4 linked regions of the Saccharomyces cerevisiae S288C genome follow. The gene in region 4 interacts genetically with the main gene of each other region. Each region holds a gene or a part of one and is shown on either strand. Other genes may lie near its edges.

The links.
Region 1: mutations in DPL1 (region 4) and ELO3 together harm fitness more than expected from each alone (negative genetic interaction), as found in Saccharomyces cerevisiae (5 studies listed by BioGRID).
Region 2: mutations in DPL1 (region 4) and ELO2 together harm fitness more than expected from each alone (negative genetic interaction), as found in Saccharomyces cerevisiae (4 studies listed by BioGRID).
Region 3: mutations in DPL1 (region 4) and IRC23 together harm fitness more than expected from each alone (negative genetic interaction), as found in Saccharomyces cerevisiae (2 studies listed by BioGRID).

What each region holds. Positions count from the first base shown.
Region 1 is NC_001144.5:865,467-868,955, reverse strand, and holds ELO3 (fatty acid elongase ELO3), read right to left. Parts: upstream 1,603-3,489; coding exon 565-1,602; downstream 1-564. Other genes in the region: VID22 (Vid22p), read left to right, coding at 1-294; Rho family guanine nucleotide exchange factor ROM2, read right to left, coding at 2,172-3,489.
Region 2 is NC_001135.5:188,971-192,148, reverse strand, and holds ELO2 (fatty acid elongase ELO2), read right to left. Parts: upstream 1,558-3,178; coding exon 514-1,557; downstream 1-513. Other genes in the region: exosome non-catalytic core subunit RRP43, read left to right, coding at 1-315; SNT1 (Snt1p), read right to left, coding at 1,980-3,178. UniProt on the Saccharomyces cerevisiae protein: Component of a microsomal membrane-bound long-chain fatty acid elongation system, which produces the 20-26-carbon very long-chain fatty acids (VLCFA) from long-chain fatty acid precursors and is involved ceramide and inositol sphingolipid biosynthesis.
Region 3 is NC_001147.6:411,112-413,980, reverse strand, and holds IRC23 (Irc23p), read right to left. Parts: upstream 975-2,869; coding exon 501-974; downstream 1-500. Other genes in the region: TOM6 (Tom6p), read right to left, coding at 1-129; WHI2 (Whi2p), read right to left, coding at 1,651-2,869. UniProt on the Saccharomyces cerevisiae protein: Is probably involved in a pathway contributing to genomic integrity.
Region 4 is NC_001136.10:1,049,934-1,054,158, forward strand, and holds DPL1 (sphinganine-1-phosphate aldolase DPL1), read right to left. Parts: upstream 2,296-4,225; coding exon 526-2,295; downstream 1-525. Other genes in the region: HDA2 (Hda2p), read right to left, coding at 2,690-4,225. UniProt on the Saccharomyces cerevisiae protein: Sphingosine-1-phosphate lyase that cleaves phosphorylated sphingoid bases (PSBs), such as sphingosine-1-phosphate, into fatty aldehydes and phosphoethanolamine. Prefers C-16 dihydrosphingosine-l-phosphate (DHS-P) as a substrate.

The sequences.
Region 1 (3,489 bases), on a different chromosome or scaffold from region 4:
AACTTCATTGAAGAGTTACTTGATATCCATGTTCCTGTGTGTAACGCGTTCTGGTCCCAATACTTAGATAATGATGCTGGGCCGATAATTAGAATTTTGTTCAAGATAATGCAATGTCAGTCATCTTCCTCCATTAGGGGAGAGTACTCATTTTTAAATGACTTCATTCCCAGAGTACATCCCGATTTAACTCAAGAGATTATTAAAATTAAATTATTCAATGATCAATTCGTGGCAAGTAAAGTGGATTACGACTTGGACACTTTACAAACTGCAAGTCAGTATCTTCCATAGGACATACAAAGGAACAAAGTCTGTTTGTTTTAAATTTTAGCTGCTATATAATTTTATTTTATAATTGTAATGTATCACTACTCCTCACTGTAAGCGTGCAATTCTTTGGGCAGCTAAGGAAATGATTAATCAAAATGGGAAAAACACCAAGCCAATAATCTATCATTTCTATAATAATGATTTCATTTATCGTACATATTTAATATAAAGAAAATGTTAACATTTAATTTTTTTCTTTTTCATTCGCTGTCAAAAATTCTCGCTTCCTATTTAAGCTTTCCTGGAAGAGACCTTGGTGTTAGAGGTCTTGACACCAGTAGAAGAACCGGATGCAACGGAGCCGGAAACTTCAGATTCCTTCTTGACTGTCTTTTTACCACCTTTCTTGTAAGATTGGATGTAGAAGGAAATAAACAAAAGCAAATAAGATGTTAGAATCAAATACCCATAAGCAGCAGCAGCCTGAGTACCATAACAAGTACCCTTGTTTGGTAAAATACCGTCCAAGTATTTGTGAGCATAGAATGTATAGGTAGCAAAGTAAACAAATACCAAGTCAATCAAAAATTGAATAATTTGGAATCTAGTGACCCATTGCTTCCACCAAACTCTAATACCACATGAACTCAAGAAGTAGTACCAGTACATGATAACGTGAACACCCAAGTTTAGTAGGATAACTACCCATTCAACAGAAGTACGACCAATTAATTGAGTGTAGCACAACAAAGCGGTGGCACCGTGATGGTAAGTGTGCAAAAACAATAACTTCTTTCTTCTCAAAACTAAAAACACAGTGTCAATCAATTCTACGAATTTGGTCAAATAGTTCAAATAGTAAAGAGTAACTAATTTTGGTGCGAAGGCTTCCTTAGAGCAGATAGACCAGAATAGACCGTTGTGATAAACCATAGGAACCAACTGTTCTAACATCAGCAACCATAAAACTAGAGAAATAGAAGTCAAAAACAAGTTGTGTATCTCGAAAAGCAATTTAAACTTTAATGGAGAGGCGTTCAAGGCGCGTAAGATAGCTTGGCCACCAAAGATAATAATGTAATAAACGATAATAATACTAACAGCATGATACCCGTTAGCCAAGAAAGTCTTATTGTGAATAAACTCGAATTGCTCAGCTGGATAGCCACTAAAGTATTCAAACACTTTGGAGAAAATTGGCCATAATTCAATACCGAATGGGTTCTCAATGGAAGGAACATGAACCTTCAAGAAACATGAAGAAGAAGAGTTCAAAGACTGGAACTGGTCGGCAACTGCTGCTATAACAGTAGATGTGGTAGTGTTCATGACTGTTTATGTTTCGTAAACAAACGGAAAAAAGCCGAATAAATAAACTAGAAGTAAGCTTGAAGCGAGTGAAGAGCTGTCAAAAACCAATCAATGACCAAATAAAAAGACACCAGATATGCGGAAAATACACAGTACCTAACTGGGGTAATAAGTTAAATAAAACTTCAAACAAGGCTAAACAACAAACAGAAGACTCCAGATAAATATTTTATACAATTATTTACTAAGAACCTGTGAAAAAAAAAAAAGACAAGCCAAATGCGTAAGCCAACCTTTTGTTTATTCACAGTCTGGAAAATTTTCTGAAAATTTTTCACTTTGTGGACGGAATAAAAACTTCGAAGCTTTGGGAAGAAAAATTTCGCGTTTTTTTTTCTCGCGTCATCAATCATTTGCATACAAATCCCTCTGACGGTGAATTATCATTATTATATTATAAAATTATTATTTATGTCGTTTTCCACTATTGTCATCAATGTTTATTATTCATAATTCTGCTCCTTTTACAACTTTAGTTATGCTTTTTATTCTAAAGAAAATAAGGAAAGTCTATATACGTTGCTATCTTAACCCCAGAAATCTAACGACGCAACTGTATCATACCCGCGATAATCCTCGTAGCAGTACAGGATTTCTTGAGTACTTGTTTGTAGAAGTCGAATCTTATCAGCAAGGACGCAACGAATTAATTCGCCAGTTTCAATCTTTCTGATCTCAATGAAGTTGCTGTCGAATGCCAAGATGTACGGGTACCAAATTGCAAATTTTTGGGGCTCTCCCTCCCAATGAATAATATGCGATTCTTTCTTTCTCCAACCCTGATTATTGACAAAGAAGGCAAATTCTGTGTAACACAGCAAAAACATATTTCCCACACGATAGATTGCCATTGGTTTCAAAGTATCCCTTAGTGCAAACTCTAATGATGTATCGGCCGGATCTAACAAGGATTCATGAGCATTCTGTGAAATGCTAACGATCTGAAAACCCTTTTTACAGCCAATGCATAGGTTGGCCTTGAGAAATGAAATAGAGACAGGTTCAGAATCAAAAATAACCTCGGTGATTTTTTTCTTGAGACTTTTTTTGTTACCGCTACCACTACCATTTTTTTCGGCCAATAATGGATGTTCATGCTCGAAGTACTTAATTGAATGCGATGAACTGTGTGCAGTCACGATTAATCTCTTACCATTGCAATCTCCTTCTGCGAAGAAACTCACATGATTGATCAGTTCCTTGTGATGCTTTTTGAAGAAAGATGTCCCATTACCTTCTGCTTCGATTAATGACAGCGGACAACTGTATAATTTTTTATCAATTAAAAGTATGATTGATTTGAATTCTTCTAATACAGCAATTTGAGTGATATTATTTCTTTGTACTAGTTGGATTGGAGTTGAAAAAAAAGCAGAGCTTTTATGTCTATGATCTTTATTCTGCTGTCTTTTAATGTTGCTCATATACAATCCAGAGTTCGTTGCAATCAGAAGTTTTCTACCCCCATCACAGGAAGTAACACTGTTAATTTTGTTGGTGTAATCGAAGAACCTATCGCTCATTTTCGTTACATTGAACATCTCCGTTTTGCTTATAATAGCTGCTTGTCCTTGCTTTATTTTTTCCAAAAGCGTTTGCAATCCAGCGTATTGCGCAGCATATAATGTAACTTGATATCTCTGCTTGGCACCGTAGTATAAGAAAGTTATTGCGTTTTTAGGATTACTCGTGTTGTATTCTGGTTGAATTACAGTTCCTGAACAATCTGGGTGGTCTCCAATATATTTCCTCAACGCAGGCATATCTTCACCTGGACATGCAAATAACAATGGCAATGGAATGGGCCTTTGGAATACCTTATGCTGGTGCCATTTATTAACTGCT
Region 2 (3,178 bases), on a different chromosome or scaffold from region 4:
ATTGCATTTGCTTCAAATTATGGGATAGTGGAGTTAGACCCCGAATGCCAATTACAAAACTCTGATAACTCTGAAGAAGAGGAAGTGGACATTGATATGGATAAATTGAACACTGTGCTAATAGCAGACCTAGATACTGAAGCGGAAGAAACAAGTATACACAGTACGATCTCCATCCTCGCTGCTCCTTCAGGTAACTATAAGCAATTAACATTAGTGGGAGGAGGCGCTAAAATAACGCCAGAAATGATAAAAAGATCATTGTTGTTATCTAGGGTTAGAGCGGACGATTTGTCAACAAGATTTAACATATAAAAGACTCGGATAAAATTATCTGATGACTGTCGAAAGGAAACGGAAAACTTTTTTCAACGATAACATGTGTATGTAATATATAACAAAACCATCCGGTCTTTTACAATATAATAATAGTGATAATAGTAACAATAGATCCACTAAGAAAAAACGAATATACGAAAGTTGAATACTTAAATTCTTTCAAAGATTTTACACTTACCTTTTTCTTCTGTGTTGAGGTTTTGGTGATGGAGATGGAGTAGGAACGTTTTTCAAGTCAACGTTAACATACTCATTAACCTTTGCGGCAACACCGCCGTGGGCACGCTTTACCACTCTACTGGTTTTGGTGCCTTTACGTTTATAAACGTTAATGTAAAATGAAATAAATAGTACCAAATATGAAGAAATAATGGCACAACCTGCAAAGGTGGCAGTTGTTGAACCCACACAGTCACCACAATGTGGCAAAATTGGGAAATACAAGTGAACTGCTTTTTGGTAGACAGCAAAATATATGAAACCGATATCCAAAACAAATTGGATAATTTGAAATCTGGTAACCCATTCCTTCCACCAGACCCTGATGCCTCTGGCAGCCAAGAAATAGTACCAATACATAACCACGTGAACACCAAGGTTCAATGAAATAGGGACCCAAGAAATAGATGTGGTGCCCATCAATTGGGTGTAACATAATAAGGCAGTAGCGCCATGGTGATAAGTATGCAAAAATGTCAATTTTTTATGTTTTAGCACCAAGAAAAAGGTGTCTATAAATTCAATAAACTTGACAATGTAATTCATGTAATATAATGTAACGAGCGGTTGAGTCCAAGCACCAATATTACAGATAGCGAAGTATAACCCGTGCTGAACAATAATTGGCACTAATTGTTCAACCATAAGCAATAAAAGCGTCAATGAAAGTGAAGTTAAAACCAAATTATGCAATTGGAAAAGGCCATTTAATTTAAATGGTTTCGACTTACTTAACAAAAACCTGCCACCAAAAATAATAACGTAATAGGCAGTGATGGCGTATAGCACAGGGGGCAAAGTGCTTAATGGTAATTCACCTGCAATGAATTGGAATTCGCTTGGAACAAATCTACCGTTAGTTACACGAGTGACGACATCATCGAAATGTTCCCACAACGAAATATTAAAAAATGGTCGCTCCAAAGTTGGTAAATAGTCATGAAGTTGGGGATAACGCTCGAACAACGGAGCAGCATATTGAGTAACGAGTGAATTCATGGCTTCTAGACGAAGATAATTAGTTCAACCTTTTCACTTTGTACAAAATTGCTTGTGGATAATAGTGAAATGAAAAATATTTTCCAATTTTTCATTGACTTTTTCGCGATGTTTATTTCTCTGTGGGTTTTGCGATTTTCAGCAATGGCCGCACGCCAGGACATGTGAATACGTACAAAAATAAAATGTGACATATTTACACGACACTTAAATAAAGTCGTTTAAAATCGGAAAAAACTGTATAATGCAGAAAAAATACGAAATTACAATTATAATTAAAAACTCCTCCCTTTATATATATACATATATATATATATAATATAGTACACTAACACACGTAAGGTAATGTATGCTCGAGAGTTTCACCAACCATTGGATGGAAAAGAAGTAGAGCATATGTATTGCCCGTCTCAGCCGTTTGTTCAATTATTATTTTCCTTTTTAGATAAAAAACTGCTCATTGCATCTGGCGCGGAGGCAACCGCAGCCAAAGCTGCCAACGGATCATTCGAAAAATTGAACTTTGGAGGCGCACGACTTATTGGACTAGTGCGAGGGGCCGGTAAAGGGAAAGTAGGAGTGCCTTGAGAAATAGCATGCTGAAATGGCAGCAACGGCCTTCCATCTGGGTTTGATTGCCCATTCCCATTTACAGGATTTAGTAATGCAGAAATAGAACTCGATCTTGGCGTAGTAATATTCGGTTTTATTTCTTGTACTACAATATTGTTCATGCTGGGAGTGTCTTCGAGCTGTGCTTCGTGTCTTGAAGCGCTTTGGAAAGAAGATTTCATGCTTCGATCCGAATTATTCAATAGATTGCTGATTGTCGTCGATTTACGGCCAATGTCAATTGCATTCCTTTCATTACTGAAGTTTTGATTATTTGTTACTGACGAAGCTGCATCAGCCAACGTGTCAATATGGTCTAAGGGCCTGTTACGCAAATCTGTCACTGTAGGTTCTGCCATTTCTGAACGAGGAAACTGAATAGATGGTAGTCTTGGTGGTGGTAAAGTGGTTAAAGGAGCACTAATTTTAGAAAAGGTATCACGATGAAAATCAGGCCCAAATGGTCTTATAGAGCCATCGATAGATGAAATAGATGTATTATGCCCATGAGTTGGTTGTCCAACAAAATAACCCAAAGCCGGTCTTTGTTGAGGAGGAATATTACTATAGGCATTGATGTTTGGTCGTTCTGGTTGTATCAAAATTTGAGATTGTTGTACAGATTCTGAACTAGTCCCATCTCGCTTTAAGTCGGTTTCATCAACCAGTAATTTCCATCCATTGCGAGCTGCATTTCTTTGGTAGTAATTCCTTACCATTGTAGTAGATTTGGTACCCAGTTTTTCTGATATGAGAGACCATTGAGAGCCAAACTCCTTCAACAATTCTGGAAAGAGTTGAGATTCACGAACACTCCAATAACTTGTTTTATGCTCTGGTGCAGATTTGTGTTTCTTTCTCTGTAACGCATTCTCTAAACTGAAGTCAAGTTCTTTGGTCTCCTCTGGATAATAACCATTCTGAACAGCTCCTTTTGGATCCATTATTTGTACCCCATTGTTGGTTTCTATTACACTGGACTTATTGCTCTCTTCTCCAACTTCATCAT
Region 3 (2,869 bases), on a different chromosome or scaffold from region 4:
AACGAAGAAGGCACCGTTTAGTGCAATTGTGTATAGTGGAGATTCCTTGAAAGCTTGGAATCTTGATTTTGGTTGTTGTGGGGAGGCCGCACCTGCAGCTGCGCCTGGCATAGCAAACATACCGTCCATTTTTCAATTATTTTGTCTGTGTTTTGTTTTTGTTCTCTTGAGAAGCCTACAGGACATGGATTCATCACGTACAATGATCAAATATGTTTGGCCCATTTTTCTCCCTCGTCTCTAAATAATGCGAGGAAGACTACGTATAAAGTGACAAAATCAGTGAACAATAATATATTATCCGCCATATGCATATATTATATAAATGTATACATACGTATGATAGATTTGTGTGATATGTTTGCATACGATTATGTGAGTATACGCTTTTGCCGTTATGGCCAAATCATGTATCGAGCCGTTTTCCTCCTGTGTGTATTCATTATGTGATCCTAATTCCGTGCAAACACCCATGAAAGGGTTTTCCATATTTTCTTTTATTATATCGATCCTGCGATATAATAACCTTCTTCCGATGACCTTGTTAAATGTAAATTTGTAAAACTAGATACGTCAGATGTTGTTTCAACATCATTCGCGTCAATAGCAGAGTTAATGCCTGATTTTGTCTGAAATCTCGTAGAAAAGAATCTTTTAGAGTGGCTGTGGATCGTGGATAACAAAAATACTCTCAAATCCCTTACTTGGCCAATTAAGGTATCCATGCAATCCCCACTACTGTATATCTTATGTAGCCTGGGACTATGCGGCCTATTATTTGTTTTAGAACGTCCTAGTTTTCTCTTGTAATTGAACATTTGTGACAGATAAAGTATCATCCGATAAACGTATAGGAAGAGATCGAATGCATACAGGCCTAAGAATGGTATTAGCAAAAAAGCTATGCATGTGCGACAGATATATTGAAGTGATTGTATAACGAGCAATAGAACTATTTCCAACGCCTCTATCATGATTGTCGAAAAAAAGGTCCTGATTCCTTAATGTTTTATAATTTTTATCTGATAAATGGATCTTGTTTCCTGTAATAATGGGTTACCAAAAGTTTTTTATAAGAATATTTAGCTTTACCAGACTAGTATACATCAACAGACAATCACACTCCCTTAAGATGTTTTTCAACAGCAAATTAAAAGGAGACCCTGATTCTTAATAATACAGATATACGGTGTATAATGATGTTGCAGACTCGTGATCACAGTTTACTGAAATTAAGAAAAAATGACGAACTAACGAAATCCAGACGTGAGTCAGAATAATTATAACAATAAAAAAAAAAAAAAATTTCTATTGTTTTATACCGGATCAATGCTGCTTTTGAGTGATATTTTTCGAACAATGTACGACTTTATTATGCGGGTAACTTTGAAATAGACAATGGAAAAACCGTTATTTGCAGAAGGGGATGGGAAGATACGAAGAGAAATATCTAGCAGTCTTCGACGCCACCTTTTTTCCTTCTTCATGTGCTTTGAGACAGTTCATATAATTTTGTTATAGAGATACAAATATACATCATTTCGTAACAAGGGAGGAATAGAAAGAGGGGATACCAAGAAACCATACTGTTACATATTGTGTCTTTGGCCCGATCTCTTTCCATTTCTTTCTCTAATATATTATATACACTCACTGCACCCCAATAACGCTCAACTCTAAAGTCCAAACTCTACGAATATGTAATCGGACGGGTACAATGATTTTATGTAGTTCTGCTTCAGGATCAACGTTTGTTGGCAAGATCAATTCAATGATTTTCTTTGATTCATCTTTCCAAGAGCCGAAGACTTCCACTTCTAGCTCTATGTCTTCTTCACCCCACCAACATTTACGAGCAGGTTTTCTCCAAAATAATAGTAGCTTAGCGTTGATATTAGGTTTTGGCACTAGATCATACAATTTGGGCAACTCCGGAGGTTTACTTCTGGTCTGCGAACTATGTCTCGAGGAAGAGTGCGAACGAACGTTATCTGCTAGTTTCGACAGCCTTGATTTTCTCTTATCACGTGCTGTAGCAGGTGCTGTACTTCCGCTTGTTAAATTCCTTGCTGTAGAAATGGTACTGTTAGATTTACTTGCAGATAAAGAGTTAATCGATATGTTAGATTGCATTGGGGTGATGAAGTTGTCTTGAGAAGGTTTGTGCTCTGCCTCCCACTTAGCCTTAGCCTCGTTAAATTTTTGCCTAAATCCTTCAGTTGTCTCGTTAGCCAATCGGCAAAGAGACAGTGAACTTATAACCGTTTTGCCAGTTTCTTGAGTTCTGTTACCCCAACAAGTTTCCTTGGTGAATCCGGAGGAGCACAACATATCCATTAAATGTTGTTCAGCAGGTCCCAATTTTTTCGAAGTAGATTTAGTATTTGAAGAAGAATTGGACCCCTTTTCAATTTTCTGTTGTTGCTGTTGTTGCTTTAGTCTATTCGAAGAATACAAACCTTGGAAAATCGATGTTTTTGAAGTTAAATAACTGCCAGCAGCCATTTTCACTTGAGCCATAAAATGTCGCAATAAATCCTCATTATTTTCTTCATTAGTGGAATCAAACTGAAATTCCTCCTGAGGTACACAATAATAATCCAAGTCTTCTCTCAAAACAATAATAGCGGGCTTTTGATGTAAAATATCCTGCTCATTGTTGCTCGAAATTGAATTATTGCTACTCAGTCCAAAAAATCCCTTTGCATTCGAAACAAAGCTACTTGATGGTCTGTCAAAAAATTTCTCCACAGGATGATTATACAAATCATCATGCGCTTTTGTATATATCTCCATGATGTACTCAAAACAATCAGGAGGGAAATTAACAATGTAGACCTCATCGTCTCTGGTCAAATTAGTAATGACC
Region 4 (4,225 bases):
TATTGTTTGCACGGCAAAACTTCGTTCCTTTGCTGTTAGAAAATCAGTCGGTGTTGGACTCTTCGTCTTTTAAATTCTTGACAAGAGAAGAGTTTTTAAATGAAAAGAACTAACGAGAAAAAACCAGGGGAAGGAGGGAAAGAGCGAAAATACTCGTGATCTAAACTCTTTTAGGTTAGTTTTCGTTGGAGGCAGTGGTCTTAAGACGATGGTGAAAGAAAGGACTTATTTGTAGAAGGATTGTTTATTTAATCCTTGAACTAAACAAATGACAAACTCAGGTCTCTAGCGTTCCTGTTCGTGGCCTTTAATAACTTGATGGCAATGGTAGAAAGACACACCTGCGTTATATAAGTTTAGTTTTCCCTTCTTTTCCTTTCTCATCCCCTCGTGAAGCGACTCGGCCCCTTTGGTCAGAAAATTCAAGGTGATACAAGTCGTCGTCCGTGACATAGGATCAGGAATCACAATCATCACATTGCACTCTCGTTCTTTAAATTATGTATGAGATTTGATTCTATATAGCTACTTGGTGGCGGTATCCTCTCCTGGACCCAACTTGTATAATGCGTCTAGGAATCCCACAATCAATTTGTCTGCAACGCCAGCAGTTTTAACGCTCCCGGCGACACCATATAGAGCGCTAGTTCCGTCTGGGGATGGTTTAGAATTTGATTCGCTCTTCAACTCTTGCACGGTAGTACGTAAAATGTCGCAGATCTCATCCACAACATGAGCGCTCAATCTCGTGAAGGCCATGTGTAGTGCAACCGGCTTTTGTAGGGCATTGAAATGCCAGCCTTTCTTGGACAACCTGTCAGATAGTTCGTGTATGTTCAAGGTCTTTGAAGAAAATGAAATGACTGAATATCTAGGGTTGCCCATTATATTCAGGTCTGGAATGTTTTCCTGGATGTATTTTTTAAACTTCATTGCTGCACCGACTATTTCTTGGCACGACTCAATGTACCCATTTTCACCCATGTTGACCATAGTGGCCCAACAACCTACGACAATAGCACCAGGCCTGGACCCTGCTAATGTAGGAGAGCCATATAACCCGCCAGTCCAAGCAGGATTTACGTAATACTGATGCATTCGTAAGTCGCTGTTTCTATACATTATAACTGACGAGCCTTTTGGTGCAAATCCATATTTATGAGTGTCACATGATATTGAGGTGACTCCCGGGACTCTAAAGTCAAGTAATGGCAGATTTTTGTAACCAGCCTTTTCCATAAATGAAACAATAAAGGAACCTAGACAACTGTCGACGTGTAAAGGAAGTTTATATTTTTGTGCTATTTTACCCAATCCTTCAATATCATCGGCAATACCATGAGGAAAGTTTGGAGCGGAACCGACCAGTAAAATTGTGTTCTTATTGATGAATTTTTTCACTTTTCCCAGGTCCACTTGATATGTCGTTGGATCTAGCTCCACGTGGCGTAGCTTCATGCCAAAGTAATAAGCAGCTTTGTCAAACCCAGCATGTGCAGTTACGGGAGCAATTATTTCTGGTTCGGTGATTCCACGATGATGAAGGGCATACATTTTAGCGCTCAGACATGCTAAAAGCAAGGATTCTGTACCACCTGAAGTTGTGGTACCACAACCTGTATCAGAAGGGGCATTAAACATTCTTAAAACCATAGAAACCACTTCGGATTCCATTTTACGTACGGCAGGAAAGACATCGGGATGTAATTGATTGGCAACGCAATATTTTTCGTATGCGATTGTTTGTAAGTGGATCAAATCATCACCACCGTGGTAAACGGCACCAGAGACCTTTCCTTCCTTCCATTGGGTATGTGGTATCAAGTCGTTCAATTTATTTAGCTCTTCAATAACATCATCCTGAGGTATCCCATTGGATGGCAACTGTGGGAAATTCATTAACTGAGAGTCCGATCTAATTAGTTCGTCTTCGATCGATTGTTTGACCTTTGTGACTTCCTTTTCTACGGTACCCCTCAAAAATGGTGAGTCCAATAACCAACGAAACAATCTTCTGGAACTATGCTCGTATGTTCTCACTGCTAACCTCACCGGCCCATAAACTTTCAACAGATAAAAAAAATTACTTATTAGCTTGTAACAAAAGATCACAAACAAATAATCCTTCAACATGTTGTACCATGGGGTATTTCTGAGGTAACCATGTATGGCTATTTTTAATTCGTTGATGGTTAGAATCATAAACTGGGCAAAGTCGCCTTCTTCCCTTAGTAAATGAATTGGCATGCCATACCAACCATTAATTGATACTGTTTTATTTGATACTCCACTCATTGTATTAGATGGAAAAATCCCTTTACAGAAGCTAGCCTACTTGCTCGGTAAAGAGGATCTGGAATAGTTATAACGGTTGGAGAGGCAAATTGAGGGTTTTATTTATATGTGTACTGAAAATATACCAATTTTTTCAATCAAAAAACCCCGATGCGGCCGGCCGGTATATATGGTAACTAACATGAAATAATGCACCAGAGTAGTTGATGAAATGTTTCTGAAGAATAAGGCGATAAACGATAGGCAACTGTGTAGATTTAAATATTTGGCCAATCTCTATGTACTTTCTCTTTTTTTCCAGTGTCAAATACTTGTAGAAACAGTCTAATTCATTAAGAAAGTATATAAAATCTCTCTATATTATACAGGCTACTTCTTTTAGGAAACGTCACATTCATGTGTAATTAGGGGTATTGGATCTTGTTGATCTAAACCGTGTACCATTTGCGGCAGCTTTTTCCACCTGGACGTTGTTTTTGTTTTTTAAGTCGTACTGTCGGTTCATTAAGGTTATGTAATTCTTTAAGAATTTGTTTCTTGCTTTAAGCGACTGAAAATCATTCTGTAAACGTTCCAGCTCCTTCTTCAAGCTTTCTGTGGAAAATTTAGTCAGTGGACCATTAACTTCGTTTTCTAAAGACTTCATTGATTCTTGCAAAATTTTCAATGTTTGCGCGGACTCTGCGGCTTTTGAAGATTCTATTTGATATTTGGAACGTAGTTCATCATTGAGCTTTGATTTTTCCGCATTTGCTTGTTGGAGTTCCTTTAACTTATTAAAAAGAGTCGCATTTTTGTCTATGTATTCCTTCAACTTGTCTGCTAAGGCAGATCCCTCTTCCAGATGATTTTCTGATGAAATAGTATTCGAGGGCAATTTGTTGAAATTCTCTAGTTCCTGCCTATTTTTCAGTAAGTGATTTATTTTATTTTGTAGCTTGGTAGATTCTGTCATCGCATGCTTCAACCTTTTTTCAGAGTCATTAATGGATTTTTCCACTTCTTGTTTTTTCTTGAATGTAAGACCAACAGAATTCTTTATTTCGTCCAACTGGTTCTGCCGTTGAGTTTCGTTTAATCGTTTCTCGTACAGTGGAACAGTGCCTTTGGCATACTCGTCCTGTATATCTCGCAATCTTATGACGGCTCTATGCATTAACTCTGTTTGGTAGGTTTTGATATCCAATGGTCCGTCCCAAAGGGGCAATTCTGTAGACGAATATTGCAATTTTGTTAATTGAGGCTGCCAAAACCCAGAATCGCTCGAATCTTTGGAGGCCTCATCTAACGTTATCAAATCCAAAACCGGTAAAATGTTATTGCAATCTTTCCCCTCTAAACAACACTTTACCAATTTAATATAATCAATCTCACAGTTGTTCACCGGAGCATTCCTTGCTTGCAAAAAATATAGTAAGGAGGATTTGATCTCTTCATATTCTTGGCTATCATCGACATGACCGTTATTGCTCAAATGCGACGATTTAACACTTGAATTCTTGATTTCAGAATCTAACAAGTAATGATCTGGAGAATTTTGTACTAATAGCTTTATTATCGGAATATCCTTATTGGCATTATTCCTCAGTACCTGCAAAGCGGGCAATTCAACTTCCAACATTGGATCAAAACTAATTATCATATCTATATCATAGTTAGCCAATAGGTATTGATCGTGTTTGAGATGTTTGGTAGTGGCTAAAAACAGCCAGTCATCCGTATTTATTTTTCTTTTTTTCAGGTTTCTTTTCACTGAGTAATCATAGTCGTCCTTAGAATAACCTGTATAAGAGGTCGAATTGGAATTAGAGCTTGTGCTGCTTACAGAATTTGGTGTTCCATCTTTATTTATTGTGGAATCGACCGTAGGTAGATTAGGGAATTTGTGTTTCTCATTATAAAGAGATGTACCGGAAAGTCTCTTGGTTCT